Linked DNA regions of Xenopus tropicalis. The protein of the gene in region 2 interacts with the protein of the main gene of each other region in a pairwise test. Links are inferred from orthologs where the notes say so. Each region holds a gene or a part of one and is shown on either strand. Other genes may lie near its edges. The genes, in order: csnk1d, snca, usp8, lamp2 and sdf4.

Region 1 (4,092 bases), on a different chromosome or scaffold from region 2:
CTGTTCAGTAGACCTGTGGGGTCCATATTTAGGGTGTTTTATATGGTTACCTGTAGAAAATAAGATGCTGCAAAATGGAAGCTTTGGGGCTTGGTATTTTAGAATAGAAAGACCTATTTTGAATTCAGGTAAATGTGTACTTTCCAAAAACAAAGGGCAACCCACTCCGTTAAGAAGGGGGGTTTTTAGTTAAATATTTGGAGAGGTATTTTACAGTAAGAGCTGTGAAGTTGCGGAAATCCCTCCCTGAACCAGTAGTACTGGCTGATACATTATATAGCTTTTAGAAGGGGTTGGATGACTTTTTAGCAAGTGAGGGAATACAGGGTTATGGGAGATAGCTCTTAGTACTGGTTGATCCAGGGACTGGTCCGATTGCCATCTTGGAGTCAGGAAGGAATTTTTTCCCCTCTGAGGCAAATTAGAGAGGCTTCAGATGGGGTTTTTTGCCTTCCTCTGGATCAACTAGCAGTTAGGCAGGTTATATACTGTATAGGCATTATGGTTGAATGTGGTGGACGTATGTCTTTTTTCAACCTAACTTACTATGTTACTATGTTATAATGGCAATCAGTGAAAAAAAAAAAAAAAATTTAAATGAGTACATTAGAATGGCAAAAATGGGAAATTATTATAGGCAGGCAGAATCTATTTTTAACACAAGTTCTATTCATTATGCTAATTTTTAGCAAAGGTATACTTTCCCTTTAATATCTTTTATATAACAATGAAAAAGAAAGCAATTTTTAAAACTGGATATTTTCTTAAATTTTGTGCTCAGTGTACAACCAGTGATTAAGCGTTTGTTTTAAAATTAACATTAAGGGCAGTGACACACTGGGAGATAAGTCGCCGGGCGTCAAATCTTTGTTGTCGCAGGCAATTAATCTCCCCGCAATGCCATCCCACAGGCTAGAATGTAAATCGCCGGTGGGATGGCATACGCGGCACAGCGATTTGCCTAAGTCGCCCAAAGTTTCCTCTCAAGGCGACTTTGGCAAATTGCGGGGTCACGTATGCCTGCAACAACAGAGATTTGTAACTGATCAAAACCTCTCTTTTTTAATAACGTTTGCTGTTGTACTGACCCTTTTTTCTCTCTCAAGTTTGTATGTAAGAAAACCTAACCTAGACCATTAAATTAAATGACTGCGAAAATCGAGTTCATCAGCTGATCATGTGATTCCGTGACCCCCATTACGCTCCTCCTTCCCAGCGCCGCTAGTTTGTTGCTAGGTAGAGTGACGTCACGAGTTTCGGTGACAGCCTCTCTCAGGTTTGTTTGTTGGAATCGGCCTAAGTACTCGGTATAATCCGCCTAAATCCTACGTTTTAAGGCTTCCCGGGAGCGCGGAAGTGAAAGGAACACAGAGAGCGCTCTTTGATCTATCGTACCGGCACTATTTTATGCTCCCTAGTAGTGGATGGAAAACGTAAATTGATGGTGAAAAGTGCCCCGGGCTTTAGAGACTGATAGCTGGGGAAGGAGGAAAGGGCCTGCACGGCAGGATGGAGTTGAGAGTCGGAAACAGGTATCGGTTGGGTCGAAAGATCGGCAGCGGCTCATTCGGTGACATATATTTGGGTAAGAAGATAATTTATAAGTGTAGGACTGTTTAACATGAACCTTGGCTCTTTACCCCTTCCCCTTACGAAATGGTACAGTCTCTTCTGAGAGCTATGGGAGAGACTAAGCAATGGTACAGTCTCAGCTGAGAGCTATGGGAGAGACTAAGCAATGGTACAGTCTCAGCTGAGAGCTATGGGAGAGACTAAGCAATGCTACAGTCTCAGCTGAGAGCTATGGGAGAGACTAAGCTTGCCGCCCCACAATGTAAAGGCATACAGTAGAACAACGGGGTTTCTGCCAGCTGGGGTGTAATCCTGGCCCCAATATACTGTATTAGACCTGGGGGCTGTGGTAGGCAGCTGGCATATAGTCTGGGGGAGGAGAGGGGGGGGGGGGGGTTGATGGAAATGACACACTAAAATGGTACCTTTCTTTTTATAAGGATTTGTGTCTACTATGTGCAGGAAAGATGGTGGGTTAGAACCTTATGGGGTTATTAGACAGGCCCAGTAAGAGATTACATGTTTTACTCTAGTGTTTTGTCTTTACAATAGAGCTGATAGTGATATATTTAGTGGCAGAGTGTACTACCTCATTACTATGGAGATACAGTCCAGCCTTTCCCATCTCCAATTCTAGATCCTTGCATCTTACAATAAGATTCTTTTAAAGGGCATCTTCACCAGGCTGTTTTTAGGAGGGCTTTTAACTAAAGTACAGAGGAATATTGGAGACTGTATTTGCTTTCATTTAACCATAAGAGCATTAGTGGCACTGGTCTTGGTGTTCCCAGTCCCCCCACCATATCTAATTGGGTTGAGGTGCAGGCCAGTCAAGTTTCATCCTCATCTCAGGAAAAACATTTTTTATGGACCTCGCTTTGTGCACGGGGGTATTACATTGCTGTTACAGGACGAGGGCCTTAACCCACCAAGTAGGATGAATAGAATTGTTATTGTATGCTGTATAATTCAAGTTTGCTGTCACTGGAGCTGGGGCCCTACGCCAAACCATGAAAAACAGCCTTATGCTATACTTTACATATGCATGATATACATATAGACATGTAGTTTTTTCCTGGCATCATCCATACCCAGATTTGTCTGTCAGATTGCTATATTATAAAGTGCAATTCATCATTGCATACAATGGCACCAATGGCAGAGACCTTTATAGGCCTAGCACTGTGCATGATCATGTGTGTGGCTGCTTGTCCATAAAAACAACCCATTCTTCCGATTATAGACAAGCAGATTGGACTCGGCAATGAGTATTGCAAATTATACATATTCCTTGTGTATGGATTCAGCTGAATACTGAACTGAACATAGAAAAGGAAATTGCAGTAAATGAGGGAAAAAATGCTGATGTAGTGTGTGACCACTTTTTTTTCAATACATATGGTGTGGATCCGGTTTGGCCGAATCCTGCTAAAAATGTCTGGGATTCCAACTACCGATTCTGGTATTTGGTGCATGCCTGGTATTATAATCTGACATGTTTGTGTCCTTTTAAACCCATACGATTTCTTAAAATATAATTTTTGTGGGCAATGTAATTCCCGGCTTAAACCTTGATACTGTAGCCGAAACATTGGGTTTAGGCTCTGTCACTGGGAGTTCCCAGGGATTCTAGACGCCAAATGTGTTTTTCCTTCCTTAAAAGCCTTCCATCTACAAATGCAAATCAGTAAAATATTGAGATGTTTGTGGTATATATCAGGACTGGCTGGGGCTCTGCAGTTCATCAGGTCACCCAATGTGAACCTATCTACTGTAGCCCCCTAGGGAACTAGCTGCATCATATAAAGATAGTGTTGGGATTGGGCTGTTAAGAGCAGGCCAATAATAGAGAGAAATTATTTTGACATTTTGGTTAGAAAGGCTTCAGCAGTAGGCTGAACAATTCTGCAGCCCAGGGTAGTCTATAATATAGGTAGGTAATTGTTCTTCTAGAGACAAGTGGGTTTGTCTGTGGGGGAACCCATACATCATTTACATGTGTAGAACCCTGTATCGTTTAGCATTGTACTTCCCACTTCACCATATTGTGGTATATGACACGACAGGGCCTATTTATCATACTGTGTGAAGGCGAACAAATAAACCAGATGTCGCGTGTAAAAAATTATGTAATTTATCAAGTTGTGTATCGATTTTTAGTGACCGTGTAGCTCTGTATAATAATCCAAAAACCTAAGCACCCACTTGATATGGTAAAATATGTCTCTTTGGGGGGAGATTTTTTTTTTTGCCACAACAACTTCTGCAAGACCTTACTTGACGCTTACATTTTTCCCATTGACTGATAACACAAGGTGTGAAATAATGGAATCAATAATAATGGCGTAATTTGGCATGTCGTTCGGATGGAGTAAAATAAACCACACACCGTTTTTTTATCGTTTTACACATTATGGTAAATGGGGACCATTATGCACTTGGTTTATAATGTAAAGAGGATATTGTGTGTGTCTCTAAAAATGTCAAACTATCCCAGGACTGTAAATATATTTGTGTCCA
Region 2 (3,515 bases):
GTTAAAGTTCGGCTTTTCACTCTACTGCGCATGCATGTGAGCGAACAGGAAGGAGGAAGCGATCGCTGCTACCCCGGGCTGGTGCTGTTCTCTCCGAACAGGGGCACCAGTCCGGGGTAAAAGGTAGGTGATTTAAGTCACTTGGGGGTGCCTAACATTTTGGCACCCCCAAGTGACTTTGCCTTTCCTTCTCCTTTAATGTACATTAAGATTTTTTTGTGATTTTTTAGTGTCAGTATCACTTTAAGGAACAGGGTTCCAAATTACAATTTTAGAAAACCAAAAGGCCCCAAAGATTTCAGTTAACAGATCTCATATGAGCACCAAAGACACACATACTATTCTCTGTCAACACTAGAATAGTTTTGTTTAATTTAAAGTCTTTTGCTCGTCTACATTGCTTCTATAGTAGGCTTATCATTTTGGGTTTTTCTTCTAGAATGCAGTACAGGATATTTTATTGGCCACCACACTCTCCTTTGGCTCTACAGACTACATTGTATGACAACATTATGGCCTTCCAACATTCCGTATAAGTAATAGCAGACCTAAATCAACAAGTGTGAGCCAATTGCATGTGTAGGTACAACTCACAAAGTATTAATTGGAAAAAAACCTTCTTCTTTAGGCATGTGATAATAATTCCTGTGCTCTGAACCTTGTACAGGTATGGGATCCCTTATCCAGAAACTCATTATCCAGAAAGCTCAGAATTACAGAAAGCCCATCTCCCATAGACTCCATTTTAATCAAATAATATAGAATTTTAAAACTGATTTCCTTTTTCTCTGTAGTAATAAAACAGTACCTTGTAACTGATCCCAGCTAAGATATAAATAATCCTTATTGGATGCAAAACAATCCTATGGGGTTTAATTAATGTTTTATTGATTTTTTAATAGACTTAAGGTATGGTATCCCGAGCATTCTGGATAATGGGTCCTATACCTGTACCTTATTCAGTGAAGTAGGTTCAACTGTGTATAGATGTAATACCTCCATCAGTTGTGTTTCAGTGTTTCAATTATTTTGCACTTTACATAGGTCAAGCTGCCCATACATGCACAGAAACGAGGTTTCGTACAATATATGGTGCCTGTATAGTGTATTGACCAGGCGACTAATATGGCAAAAGCCTTGGATATCAGTCACCTCATCAATCGGTTGGGCGGAACAGAAGATTTTGATCAGGCACGGTTGAAGGCATCCAACCAAAGGCATGCTTTTAGGGCTGAATCGTCTAATGGGGTAGAATTCCTACTCTTTCTACCACCATATCTGATGATTCAGCTCTGAACGTTAGTGGAGGGTACAAACAATCTTTCTTAAAGATCGTACTTGTAACGTGTATGGCCACCTTAAGTCTGCATAAGTCTGACTACCACTAAACTATGTGATGTCAGAGATTTCCAGATTAGGCATGATATAGTAGCACATAGAAAAGACTGATGAACTCATAAATAAATAGATATTTTTAGTTTTAAGTTTAGTTTAGTTTCCCAGCTTGAAATTGTAAAGGCAACATATAAGAGTGTAGCAACCCATACCCTCAGACAAAGGAACAATCTAAGTACATGATTCTAGTGCTTGCAGATCATACATAAAATCACCATCTAAGGTTATCAGATTTATCTCAAAATTCTAGTAAAAAAGCTTCTACAGAATCTACTCTTAAAAGGCTTAAAATGGAACATGATGAATTTAACATATTTGATTAATCAGATCCCTGTGATTCTTTTCACATCTCATGCATTTGTAATATTTTACATACTTACATCTGAATTCATTAACACAATTAGTATCACTTCCTTGTGTCAGCACAGTAATCCATAGAAACCACTCAGAATTTAGCTTTATTCAGTCAACTGCAAGTCCATGAAAAAGTCTCTTTGGTTGCTATGGATAACTGTGCTTAAGCTAATTTGCCCCTATAATGGTAAAGAAGCCAACTGAGTTAATCCATTAGTTAGTAAATATATAAATTTTGCAATTAAACACAGATGTGAATTAATATCAATCACCATACAGTATATTGATTTTAGCAAAAACATTTTGATAAGTATGCTTCATTGAGCATGTATATTTTTATCTGATACAGACACTCAGACCAATCAATTGCAATACTACAGCATTAAAAAGTATTATGTGTTGAGTTTTTTAAATGATCATTTATACTTATTAAAATGTATTTAATTATAATAATTTTATTTTATTTTTTAATGACTAATTAACATTTATCTCTGATTCAATCACTGTATTTGCTGATTCCCTAATTTTTTCAGTAGTGATGAGCGAATCCGGTTTTGTTTGATTGTTGCAAATCTTTTAAAAGATTCACGAAATGGCAAAAATGTCGCGCTCAAAAACAATTTGTTGCGCGCATCATTTTTTGATGCGTGTTTTTGACACACATCACTTTTTATGTGCGCCGAATTTTCCCGGGCCGAATTTTGACGCTCGTTTCACTAAACAATCCACCAAAGGCGAAATTCCCCATGAATCCATGCCAGGCAAACTATTTTGCCCATCACAAGTGTTCAGTTTATATTTTGCTCTGTTTTACTTAGCAATAAGAAAGGAAAAAGAATAGCCTAATAGCTGCTGCACATATTCCTTCGAAGTTTGTATTGACCTAAAAAGGCTAATGCTTGGATCGTTCATACGAAAGTTTCGAGTTTTATTACATATGGGAACTTAAGTCTTTCAAAGACTACATAATATATAATAAATTTAAAAAAGCATTTACCTTTTGATCCTTCTTTACCAGTCCTGTTGCTGCAGCAATATTTCCGGCTCCTTCAACTGTCTTTTGTGCAACTGCAGTTACTCCTGTGACTACTGCTCCACCAACATTAGACACCTGCTCTTTGGTCTTTTCAGCAACTGATGTACAATAAACAAACAAAATTCAATGCTCATGCTCTATAAGATGTTTGGTTCATAAAAATGAAATATGGAAAAAAGCAAATAATTAGGCAATAGTATTCTGTGCCCACATTTATGTTTCTTTTAGCAATGCAGAATACCCCCAAACAATGTAGGTCTCTATAAAAATAAAATGCATAAACAAGCTCATATGTAAAACCCTGCTTCACCCAAATAAACCATAAAAATATACTTTTGTAGTAGTATGTGCTATTAGGTACTCCTAATTAGAAAATTGCCATTTTAAGAATTAAGGGCCACCTCCTAGGATCATAGGATTCACAAACAAGCAGGACCGGATTTGTGGCGAGGCTACAAAGGCCTGGCCTAGGGCAGCAACAATTTAGGGGTACGCCCGCCACACTGAAATTCTGAAATTTGCTCCCATATTGACCAATAGGGACCTCTCCCCACTGCTCCGCATGTCACAAAATGGTGGCTCAAGGGAAAGGATGGAAAAGGGCAATATTTGCTGATATATATATTCCAGTTTGGCAAGATTTTTTAATTGATCACTTAACATAATATAAACTATCTGTTGGTTATGTTTTCATTCTGGGGGTATAGTTTTCCTTTAACCAAAAATAATA
Region 3 (3,515 bases), on a different chromosome or scaffold from region 2:
GCGTTAAAACTTGCGCGAAAAGTTGCGCTTTTTTCGTAGCGTTAAAACTTAAAAGGCACGACGTTTTGCGCAAGTTTTAACACTATGAAAAAATCGCAACTTTTTGCGCAAGTTTTAACGCTACGAAAAAATCGCAGCTTTCGGAATGGCTACGAAAAACTCGCGTTTTTCCGCAAAAATCGTATTGGTAACGAAAAAATCGCAAAATACCGATCATTACGAAAAAAACGCAATCGGACGCATTCGGCCCGTTCGTGAGTAAGTAAATGGGCCCCTTACTGTAGCATATATAGCATGCTGCAGTACAACCAAAGAGAAAACAGCTAGTACAACAGTTAAACTATTCTCCATAGGTTTAATACATTAAACCATTTACAATTTTTTGTTATAAATGACGACAATATGCAGAACACAGTAAAAGACCTGCTTATGGGGTTCAATTGAACATGGATGTATCTTGTCTCCTTAATATTATGGCAATGCAAAAATGTCTTCACACTTAATCTAAACAAATCGCCCAGTTATTTAAATCGGTTAATTAAACACCAACTAGTTTTCATTATGGATGCAGTAGTTCAAGGATTCAACTAAATTAAAGTGACGTTAATTTTTGAAGCTGTAAAAAATTGAACACTATAAAGTTTTGTTCACAATTGATGTCATTTATTTTTTTTCTGAAGTGCAGAATTCTGAAAGCAAATTAGATTAAGGATCCCATTTAGAATTCAGCTAAATATTTTGGGAAGTATTTGGTATTCAAACAAATGAAAAAATTATGTGTTTGGTGCATCCCCATCACTGATTTTTCTTCAGTTGAGTACACACAAGCAGATGCATCATTTTCAAACTTTTATTTTTTTTTTATATATCGGTTATTCTATAGCACCAATGCATTTACAGAGATTATTCATCATTCTCATCAATCCCTGCTTCTGTGGAGTTTACAAGCTAAGGTCCCTATCACAGTCGCACACATGACAGAATATATGCATGACCATAGTATTACAGACTATTCTTAGCAAGTAGAGAATACATAGCAGTGCAAACAAATGTATTTGCATGTGGATTTTTTGGCCATTTTCACTTATGATCTTTGTTTCTATTTTTTTGTACAGTGGGAAACAAAAACAATCCTACGGAGTGAACCTTTAGTTTTGGAAGGTGGTTATGAAAATTGGCTTCTTTGTTATCCCATGTTCACAACAAATGGGAAAGTGACTGTGCCCAGGAAAAGAACACAAGAATCTGTGTCTTTGTCATGTAAGTTGACCAGTAAATGCGTCAGATTGTTGTATTATGTTATGGATTTTTTAGACATGCTCCTGTTAGCAGAATACCGCACTGTCCCAGGGTACTTCTAAGTGAGCACCATTGAGCAATCCTCTTCTTCTCCTTCTCCATTCTCCAGTGGCCCTGGACTGATACTTGTGTAGTAGCTGCAAAAGTGCAAAATTTTGGCTTTTCACTCTACTTTGTATGTGCACCCTATGAGAAGATAAGGGAAGAGGATCACTTCATGGTGTTTGATCAGAAGTACTGGGGCAGTTTTCTTCTGAAAGTAGCAGCAGTCTGGGGTATCATTCAAATGATTATAATTTTATCTTTCCTTCCTCTTTTAAATATAATCTCTGTTAGATATTACATCTAACATCTAATGTATATACCATGCCGCGTTTAGGGTAAAGGGCAAATTATACTGAAAACTTTTTTTTTGAAGATTGTCAGGGGTGCAGCGTTGGTACATCTCAAATTCTGCCTTTCTTTGGTTGGGGAGTTGAGGTCTTGTACATTATGTGAGATAATTTAGATTGACCTTGAGATGTGGGGCAGAAAAATCCCTTTCCCAAGTTACCTGGAGTTGGTCTTTGGTGGAAGGTAGTAGCATTAATTGTTTTGTGGTTGTAACAGTTGTCCATGCAGGATATGGGCGATGTGAGGTAAATGGTGAAATCTTCTCTATTGTAGAGTTGTTGGCGCAATATCGGCATATATCCGCATTTCGTATGGCTTATCAACAGTACATGCAGCTTGTAGAGCATAGTCCAAGACCTCTACATAGTGCAGCTTTAGTATGATACCTCTGGGGAGGTTGGTGTTTCAGGGGTGTCCCAGGGCGCGACGAATTCTTTGAATATGGAGGTGGTCTTCTGGTAGGTCTGGTAGAAGTTTGGTGCAATACCTCATTCATCAAGCGATATAGGTCGGTAACCATTTCAGGGGCCACCCTTACCCTCAAGTTGCCCCTCCTTTATCTGTTTTCCAGATCTTCTATGTAATTTTCAAGTTGCAAAATTTGGGCCTGATGTAGGGCCAATTGTTTTTAATCCTCTTTTGAAGCCACTGCTTGAAAGTCTGCACTGTTCCAGGTAGTCCACCCTGTCCCCTATTTCTCTTATTTGGCATGTGAACTGCTGCAGTGAGTTTGGTTTTGAACAGTTTCTTGTACCTTATTGTGGAGCAATCTGTGCAAGTCACTGGGCAAGTTAATTTTAGCTTTTTATAGCAGAACTGGAGCAGAGCATCCTTCCTGTTAAGTTCCCCATGTAAGCTTTTCTTTATAACTTGGGGCCTAGAACTTGTGAAGCTAGAAAAGGAGGTCTTTGACCAAGATACCTAAAATGACAAACCAAAAAAAAAACCAAGAGGAAATTGTTTCCAGAAACAATCCGGAATTATATGTATTGAAACAGAGATCTACATATTTTAGTGTTATAATCATTGTTTATATAATAGTTTGCTTCCCATAACTAGTGAATTTCTGGAATTATGCATAGCATTCTGTGTTTTGTCTCTGGTCTTTTTCTTAAGCAATAAGACAGACAGCTAGCATTTACATGTTGCCTCACACAAATGGGAAAGGTTGTCGCAGTTATCATATGAGACAGGCCTTAAATTAGATTTGCTAAGAATTTCTGCAGAGAGATGCCTGTGTACCGCAATACAGTTATATGCTGTTCTAATAAAATCCATGAAATGTGCATGCAGATAATGCTTTTTTCCCCTCTTTTAGTGGACTTCAGTTATCCATCTCTAGAAGAACCAGCACTTCCACCACCACCACCACCCCCTGTATGCATCAAAGAAAGCAGCTATGAGGATACTATAAATGCAGTGAAAACTCAAAAAACAGAGGAACCTGTCCATGTAGTACAAAAGGATGACCCTGTACCAGATGCTCAGACTCCAGATTCTGTTAAAGTCTGTCAGCCACAGAAAACTGTGAAAGTTATTCCACAAGTAGGTTTATCTGTGCTATATATGTGTGTGTAAATTAATTATTTTAAAATGGATTTTCAGTGTAATGTATAATAGTGCTGATCTCAGCTTTTCATTTATGCTCTTTAGTAGTATACCAGCAGTAGTTACCAATTAGTGGTATAGGAATAAGAGGATTAATTTTCCCCTTAGAGGTACTTATTTTTACATGCTACATCATTTGCCTGGATTCTGGTCCACTGACAAAGCACAATAGTAATATAAAATCCAACAATGTGAAGGAAAGGCCTACATTCGCT
Region 4 (4,177 bases), on a different chromosome or scaffold from region 2:
AGATAGGTAAAAGGATATATTGATAGGGATAGATAGATGATAGATAGATAAAAGGATAGATTGATAGGGGTAGATGATGATAGATAGATATAATGATATTTAAACTACATATTGGAGAATGCTGCATTATGTGTGAGGATGTAGAAAAACAAAGATCAATTTTCTAGGAATCCCACATGATGAATGAATGCAAAAGTTGAGTATGTTACATAGTGGGATTTTCTCTCTGTACCTCAAAACAGCACCTTTGACTCAGCATTTACTGTATTTCAGCTTAATATTATGTTTCATGTCGCCTCCCTCCTTCAATCTGCAACTAAATGGCCTTCTAGTGCAAGCTTTTGGCTGTGCAAGGCCAAGCAGGGATATTTTAGTTATACAGGGCCAGTGTTAGGGTATGGCAGAATTATTATGATTTTTTAAGGGCTAAACTCCACGGGAGATTTTGTAGGAAGGTGTCAGATTGACAAAACACATCCTACAATTCAGATGTAGTTGCATGGGTTAATATAATGGAACTGATACAAAAATCTGATGTGTTGCCTACATGAAAGAATTGCCATCCAAAGGGATTGCTGCCTCTTTATCCGACGAGATAAAATCTTTAGTCATTGAAATACATCGACTGTCAGATGTAGTTGTAGAAACAAAACCAACCATCCAATGTTATCTGATCCGACTTCACAATACAGCAAATTACACAGCACTTTATGGTAATTTATAACAAATGGGTCAGAATAAAAATGGGATTAGGGGGCCCTGTATAGAGATTAATTTTGCTCTCCAATGTTAAAAATGCCAACAGCCTTTATTATAACATGATTCAACATACACAAAACCCAGAGTCTATGGGGCTTTTTTTCTGCCTGAATGGCACATAGGCAGTAAGGAACTCTAAATACATACACAATATTTAAAGCCACTTACCCCTCCCAACAATTAAAAATCAACCAGTCAATGCTTGTTGCCCCTCTGGGGCAAGTTCAGTTATTCTACTATAACAAGTACAAAAGAGTAATTTAAACCAAGTGCTAAATGTGCATACAAATAAAAAATACAAATACTTCTCTCCTAAACAATAATCTATGAAGATTTCCTCATCTTATGCCTAATGTTACTTACTGTATAACCTGTACTAAGAATTGTCTTGTATCACTGTTGTTACATTCAGCGAAATGTTAAGAGATGTAACAGTGGTGTAAGTGCCGAGGGCACAGAATCTCAATCTAAATCCGGCCGCCCGCCCGCTCTTCCATTTACAGCTTTCTGAAACGTGAACCACAAGGACAATGGAAGCTTTTTTTGTTTTCTGATTGGTTAGCGAGGTGATGATCTGTCATGTGACTGTGGTGTGTTCTTTCTGCAGTCAGTATTCCAGCTGGTAGCACCGTGTACGGGTTTTGTTGGGGCCACTTGGAGCCATGGAGCGCTGTGCGTGTCCTGCAGCCTTGTTGCTACTAAGCCTAGGTGAGTGGGGGGCAACGGGGAGAGGACGGGGGGGGGGGGGGGGGTTTGGGCTAAAGAGCCGCACACAGAGGCTTTTGTGCTTAAGGGGCTGTTTGTGGGGGTGGGTTAGGAGTGGCTCAGGGACAAGCGTAAAATCATTTTTTTTTTAATTGTATACATGTATGAGCAGTTACTGTATAACTAGGCGCAAATGTATGCGTCCAACCTGCTGCTTCCTGCTGTTGCACAGCTACTGGGCTGCTGCTCCCTGACCAACTGGGGAGGCCAAGGTTACACTCACAGCTACATACCTGCCTACAAACAACTGGCCTGCTGAGTACAGCAACCGGAAGTCCCTTTAGCCTGGCACAGCAAGCAGGGATAGCTCACCCAAAAATGTAGGGGTAGTACTTTAGTGAAGAGTTCCAGGCCACCATGTTGGATCCAGTAATTGCTTTATAATCTTAAAGTGGCGCAGGCAGATTCAGCAGCTTATCTGCCCCTGTATGGGGCCCGCCGACGGGCATCCCTGATCGATATCTGTACGTCAAGGTGTTGAGTGGGCAGGTTCGATTTCCTCATCAGATCAGGGGCCACAAAAGGAGCGCATCAATGAACCAACTGGCAAGAAATCTGCGCTGTATAGGAAACTCAACAAAGGAAGGGTAGTTCCCTTGCACCTTTCCAGCTACTGCCAGGGGGATAGTTGGGTAATATGAATAATGGGAAGTACCCAGGAGGATGATCTAATGGCCTTGCCAGTGACCGGCTTGCTTACTGATCCCCAGTGTACAATCACACTCCGTAGATCTGTCTTTTAGCAGCCATGTTGTATGGTGAATATGATGTAACTTCTGGCATGGGAAACCTGAGGAGCTGCAGGAAGGTAAAGCACCTCTATCAGGATCCCATCTACAGATTAGGGCTCAACATTGTAGTTTAGCAACACCCAGAGTGATGTTGCAGAGTTCTACATCCTTAATAGTATGATATAATTGTTGTCATGTTAATTCTGTGTTCTGCCTTTCTTTAGGGACACATGCCTTCTTTCTAGGGACTAAGGCTCATATGTGAGAGCATATATATGTATATATAAAATAGTATATACACACACACATATACATATACATGTGTGTGTGTGTGTGTGTGTGTGTAAACTTATATAATTTAACACCATCATCTTTTTTTATCTGACCCCAGAGTTTGCTCTTGCATTTATACCTATGGATAATCCTTATTCATCTCTTCAGTGGCAGCAATGTGGCTGCTCCCACTTCCATGCAAACTCATCTTTCTGAGCTAAAGTGTTGAGCAGGGAATTTTTAGTCCTTTCAAGTTAGGGGGGGAAACAAGTTTGCCCTTTAATTTGGAATGAATTGTTGGGCTATGGTTCCTATTGTCACTGACATCTCTTGATTGCATAATGGCAATGAAATCTTTAATCTGGGCAATGGACATTTAATCCATCCAATCACAGAGCTTTTTTTTAGGGATATTACCTGGGGATGTGCGCATACAGGCGAGATTTTACCTTTAATTTTCCCACCTCATTATAAGGAGAAGGGAATCCTGCAAAGGGAGAGTAATGCGTGAAGCACATGCGTTCCTTGCCCAGGCTTGATTCATACAGTGCTGTTAAACAATATGGATCTTCAGCTCAATGCTTTCACTTTTCATGACCCATAGCAGCTAATGGGACGGCAGCCACATAAACCAATTGAAGGTTAGCATATTGGCTCTGTTTAACCCTTTCTCAGCTAGGCACTTAAACCTTTAGCGCTTCCAGCATGCTTTATATGCATCCCAGGTGTGCCACTGAGACCAAACCACCAAATACTCATGTGCAGGATATTTAGGGAACAATAATAAATACATTTCAACAATTTCATTTAAATGTAGATAAATGGCACAGCATAAGCTGTTGTGCCCGCCAGCGATGCCCTCTCATAGGCAGCTGCCAAGGTCGCTGTAAGGACGTTCCATCCAAAAGGTGGTCTAATAATATCCTGGCTGGATGTAACCTATGCTTGTCTCTGAGTAACCTGATGCATAGGGGTGATCTCTTGATAGAGATCGTATGATATGCACAGAGAACATTACATTCAGCCGCAGCCGTGAATATTAAAGTGGACTTGTTTTAAGTGCTTTCCTGAGTTTTGAGTGACCTGGTTTTCTCTTGGGAGAGGCCATCCTGCTAAGTATTGTAGCCTTTTGTCACATCCCTGTCATAATCATAGGAACTGCTAGAGCAGTGCTGTCCAACTTCTGTTGTACCGAGGGCCGCAATTTTTCCGACCTACGTGGTGGAGGGCCGATAATGGAAGCCAGTTTTGACCACTCCCATTTTTGAAACCACACCCACTTGAAACCACACCCATGTTATCACATGACCATACCCATATTAATGGTTGTAGTACAGCAAAAACCTGCCATACTCTGCCTGCCCTACCCTGCCTGTGTGTGCCATACTCTGCCTTCCCTGCCCTGCCTGTGTGTGCCATACTCTGCCTTCCCTACCCTGCCTGTGTGCCATACTTTCCCTGTGTTTGCCATTCTTGGCTGGTTTGTGCCATACTTGGCCTGTGTGTGCCATACTCTGCCTTCCCTACCCTGCCTGCGTGTGCCATACTTTCACTGTGTTTGCCATTCTTGGCTGGTTTGTGCCATACTTGGCCTGTGTGTGCCATACTCTGCCTGTGTGTGCCATACTCTGCCTTCCCTACCCTGCCTG
Region 5 (4,167 bases), on a different chromosome or scaffold from region 2:
AGCAACACAAGCACCATAAAAGTTCATGGAGGAGCCAAATAAGGGCTAAGATTGGCTATTAGGGAGCCTCTATACACACTATCAGCTTACAGGGGGCTTTATTTGGTAGGAAATCTTGTTTTTATTCAACCAAAACTTGCCACCAAGTCAGGAATTCAAAAATAACTACCTGGTTTGGGGGCACTGAGAGCAATATCCCAGGGGTTGGGGAGCAACATGTTACTCATGAGCCACTGGTTGGGGATCACTGGTTTAGATACTAAAAAAAAGTTATATGGTACAGAGGAACTCTCAAAGCATTATGATTTGACTTTTTAGTAGAATATTTATTATTATGGTTTACTTCTCCCTACCCACTAAAACCCCTTGGTATGTCTGTTGGACTTTCATGCAAATGATTCATAACAAATGATTATGTATGACTGGTTATATTATAATAAATTATATTATACCCAGTTATATTATTTTGATTTGTTATGATCCTTCTATCTATGTTAAGTCCTTGAAAGTAGTACCATGCTTTTTAAGCATTTATGCTTTTTTTTACTGTTCACTTAAGGCTGTTACATATAGGAAATAATGGATGCTATTCTGTAGTGACATGTCATAATTCTAGCCATATACAAGAAACAGATTCTAATTCAGCTGTGTGGCATAGACCCTAGAGCTGTTTTGAAAATCTGGAGCTGCTCCCATGGTACACACAGAGAAATAGATAGGGGTAGAAGCCTAAATCTGCTTAGGGTGTAATTTGGGGTAAATGCTTATATCTGTCTTTTGGAATGTCCTTTATCCATGCTAGGGTGACTGTTAAACCTGTTTTTTGATTGCGAATGGTAAAATCTTGAGCTCTAAAAGTCTGACAAGTCTAGAAAATAAGATATGGATATTTTTAACACACGGATACAAATGTATATACGTACTACAAGTCTGAGTGGATTTACTGGTTTTGAGAGAAACACAACCAGGACATGGATGGTTCTATGTAAATTAAGTAGTTTGTGTGTTTTCTGCCAGTATAAGACAAGTAGCGTTTACATTTTTTTCCCCACATATGGTGCATATCATAGGGTTCATATTTTTGTATAAATTGTGATATTGCTGTTATGTACATTGATTTTTTTTATGATTTCACAGATTAAAAGAATGTACGACCAAAGAATGTCTTTTTCACCTGGGTTAATGCAATTCCTGTAACTCCTACTCATGATTAGTTGTCAGCAGTATTATCTGGCTGGGTTGAGACATTCCACAAGAGTTTTGTAGATTTTTGCCTGGACCTGCATATTAATTGCATTTTCTTTGCTATAAGTAGCTGCGTTGTAAGCTAAATTCACTACATTTTGTTTTTTCCCAGGATATAAAGAACACTAAAAGCTGCACTGTGTGGTCTCTGTTTAAGCTCTAAGCAGAAAAATGGTATCCAAGCAGGCTTTCCTCTTCAGCCTTGGTTCGCTCTACCTCTCCCTCCTCTTTGTGTTTCTCCTTATGGATGTTTATGCCAGGCCTGCAAACAATTCTGCTCTCAAGGTAGAAGGAAAAGAAAAGGCCACAGACAATAAAGATGAAAATGAAATTATGCCCCCGGACCATCTGAATGGAGTAAAGATGGAAATGGATGGTCACCTCAACAAGGAGTTCCACCAAGAGGTTTTCCTCGGTAAAGAAATAGAAGAATTTGATGAAGATTCTGAACCCCGAAGGAACAGAAGGAAACTGGCAGCTATTTTTGCCAAGTAAGTCAACCATTTCTCACCCTCAATTCTTTCAGGAATAAATTAACATCGATCTTAAGCCTTTCTTTACCATCTTTTTTCTACAAACGTTGTTGAATGTTATTCCCATTCTCATGATAGAGATCCTGGTTTGATTTCCTATGCCAACTTGAAAAGTTACTAAATATCCTTAGTACCCCTTATCATGGTTACCTTGATTGCTGTAAAGTACTATATAAGTAATGAGGTGTTGCAATTACATAGGGCCTTATAGGAGCATGTGACTTTACAGAATGAAAAACTTTATTTGGCGCAGGAATTTTGCAGGAACTTTTATGCTGTTGGGGATAGAAGGTGATTTCAGTTTATACTAAGTTTTATTGGGCATCATCTTATCGGAAAGTGAGGATGAAAGCACATCTGATCAGAAAGTGGGGATCAGATGTGCATCATTTAGCCTTAAATCTCAAACAAAGTAGTGTTTGGTCAGTTTAGCAGTACAGCATGTTGTTTGTTAATAATATGTGATGTAGGGTGAACCCTGGAAAAAACATGGCAATCTTTATGGCTATTGATCTTTCTTTTTAAAAATATTAACTGTACTGAAGGTGCATTTTTAAAATTTGCAGACTAAGGAAAAAATTGTCAAAATTATAGGCATATTTTTAAATTTCATCTCTTTCAGAAATTTGAATTACAGTTTCTCACTTGCGTTTATTGAGTTAAAGGAATACTGTCATGGGAAAACATTTTTTTTTTTTTTTTTTAAAAAGACCTATCAGTTAATAGAGCTTCTCCAACAGAATCCTGCATAAAAAGTGAATTATTTGCTATATAAACAGTGTCCTTTAGAAATAAAAAATACACCATAAAAATCATGACCGTATCCCTTTAATGAAGACATGTGAGAAAATTCTTCTTCAGTTAGGGGACATCCACCTTTGCTTCTTTTGAGTTATTAAAGTGATTTACTATCCCAGCATAATAATTCTCAAGTAAATTCACTGATAAAATTCTTCCATAAAAGAAATGTCTGTGCTCCCTTATTGGATAGAATGCTTCCAACAAAGTATGGATTTTTTATTAAAAAAACTTGATATAGCAGTCCTTTAAAACCATCTTCTACAAAGTAACAAAGCTTGGGTATAAATGTACAGTTGAGGTTACACGCACTACCTTTTACAATATTCAGTAAGATGACAGGGCATTTTTAAGATGTGAGATTTTTGTGGTGAACTTAAGCTAACTTGCTTCCTTTAGGTGTACAGTTCCAGTAAGCTTTTGCAAATAAATGTTTTATAGTTTCATAACTTATAGAAATTGTAAGATCATTTTTGCTGGGTAATATTTCTTACCATTCATATTTTTTTAAAATTGTTTTTTCCATAGTCAAAAAGCTTTTTTAAATAACCAGTTTTTATGATATCTAAGGCAGAAGTCATTTCATTGCAAGTATTATGGGAAATAATGAAGTCTACGCACTAGGGGTGGTGTAGCCACAACTTTATAGTCTGGAAGTATAGTTTTCTTAGTGAAATAGTGTTGAATTCTCAAATTCTTCAGTAAAATGAGGAGTTATTTTAAAAAAAAAATTGCCAGTGTTACTATCCTGGTCCCTGTCTGGACAAACAGGTACCCTGCCAACCTGGGTGCAGAGAAACCAAACAGATTTTGCCATCTCAATGCAAACATGTTTCTGTGCCATGTGTCTACACACAGGCCAACGCAGTGCTTGTTAGTGCAGATGCTGGAGTGGCCAAAGGCGAGTGGTTTGGGTCAGTGTCACCATAGTCAAAAGACATTAAGTTTCAGCCACAATGACTAAACATTGCCTAAGTGCTTGCTCCGTTTAATTATTAATGACTAAAAGAACTGACATACTCCTAGTATGTTTGTGGAGTGAGGAAATCTGAATACGGAGGCATGGGGCAAACATACAAACTCTTTGCAGACAGTGCTCTGCTTGGAATTGAACTTTGGACCCCAGTAAGGCAATACCATGAAGCTCTGTTAAATTTTTACTTTTCTGACACTTTTTGATTTCAGTCATGCTATATGCAAAGTATTTTAGAACTTTTATGTCTCCCCTCAAGTGCTTCTGCTTTGTATGTCTGTCCAAAGGAATTGAACTAGAAAGGAAAATTATGGTAGATCATTAAAGGAGAAAGAAAGGTAAAAACTAAGTAAGCTTTATCAGAAAGGTCTATGTAAATAAAGCCATAAGCACTCACAGAAACGCTGCACTGAGTCCTCTATCAAAAGATTTCTTGTGTCTATTTTCCTCTGCCAGAGACATGCAGCTCTCTCCTGCTCTCCCCTCCCTCAAGAATGCTAAAAACTCACTCCCCCCATTAGGAATGTGGATCTGAGCCAATCAGCAGGAAGCTTCCACATAGTCTTACAAACTGTGCATGTATACGGATCTTACTCTTGGTGCAGGAGCGAGTCATTA

The links.
Region 1: the proteins of snca (region 2) and csnk1d interact in binary tests that used the Homo sapiens proteins (3 or more experiments, as listed by UniProt). The link is inferred for Xenopus tropicalis from reciprocal best matches to the Homo sapiens genes SNCA and CSNK1D.
Region 3: the proteins of snca (region 2) and usp8 interact in a two-hybrid assay, tested with the Homo sapiens proteins (2 studies listed by BioGRID, with this or other methods). The link is inferred for Xenopus tropicalis from reciprocal best matches to the Homo sapiens genes SNCA and USP8.
Region 4: the proteins of snca (region 2) and lamp2 interact in binary tests that used the Homo sapiens proteins (3 or more experiments, as listed by UniProt). The link is inferred for Xenopus tropicalis from reciprocal best matches to the Homo sapiens genes SNCA and LAMP2.
Region 5: the proteins of snca (region 2) and sdf4 interact in a two-hybrid assay, tested with the Homo sapiens proteins (2 studies listed by BioGRID and IntAct). The link is inferred for Xenopus tropicalis from reciprocal best matches to the Homo sapiens genes SNCA and SDF4.

The regions. Positions count from the first base shown.
Region 1 is NC_030686.2:23,251,951-23,256,042, reverse strand, and holds the start of csnk1d (casein kinase I), read left to right. Parts: upstream 1-1,290; 5' UTR 1,291-1,509; coding exon 1,510-1,585; intron 1,586-4,092. UniProt on the Homo sapiens protein: Essential serine/threonine-protein kinase that regulates diverse cellular growth and survival processes including Wnt signaling, DNA repair and circadian rhythms. It can phosphorylate a large number of proteins.
Region 2 is NC_030677.2:78,449,864-78,453,378, reverse strand, and holds part of snca (alpha-synuclein), read right to left. Parts: intron 2,884-3,515; coding exon 2,747-2,883; intron 1-2,746. UniProt on the Homo sapiens protein: Neuronal protein that plays several roles in synaptic activity such as regulation of synaptic vesicle trafficking and subsequent neurotransmitter release.
Region 3 is NC_030679.2:104,931,703-104,935,217, reverse strand, and holds part of usp8 (ubiquitin carboxyl-terminal hydrolase 8), read left to right. Parts: intron 1-1,115; coding exon 1,116-1,260; intron 1,261-3,010; coding exon 3,011-3,237; intron 3,238-3,515. UniProt on the Homo sapiens protein: Hydrolase that can remove conjugated ubiquitin from proteins and therefore plays an important regulatory role at the level of protein turnover by preventing degradation. Converts both 'Lys-48' an 'Lys-63'-linked ubiquitin chains.
Region 4 is NC_030684.2:46,049,602-46,053,778, reverse strand, and holds the start of lamp2 (lysosome-associated membrane glycoprotein 2 precursor), read left to right. Parts: upstream 1-1,367; 5' UTR 1,368-1,421; coding exon 1,422-1,467; intron 1,468-4,177. UniProt on the Homo sapiens protein: Lysosomal membrane glycoprotein which plays an important role in lysosome biogenesis, lysosomal pH regulation and autophagy.
Region 5 is NC_030683.2:93,660,509-93,664,675, forward strand, and holds the start of sdf4 (45 kDa calcium-binding protein precursor), read left to right. Parts: upstream 1-1,363; 5' UTR 1,364-1,416; coding exon 1,417-1,736; intron 1,737-4,167. UniProt on the Homo sapiens protein: May regulate calcium-dependent activities in the endoplasmic reticulum lumen or post-ER compartment. Isoform 5 may be involved in the exocytosis of zymogens by pancreatic acini.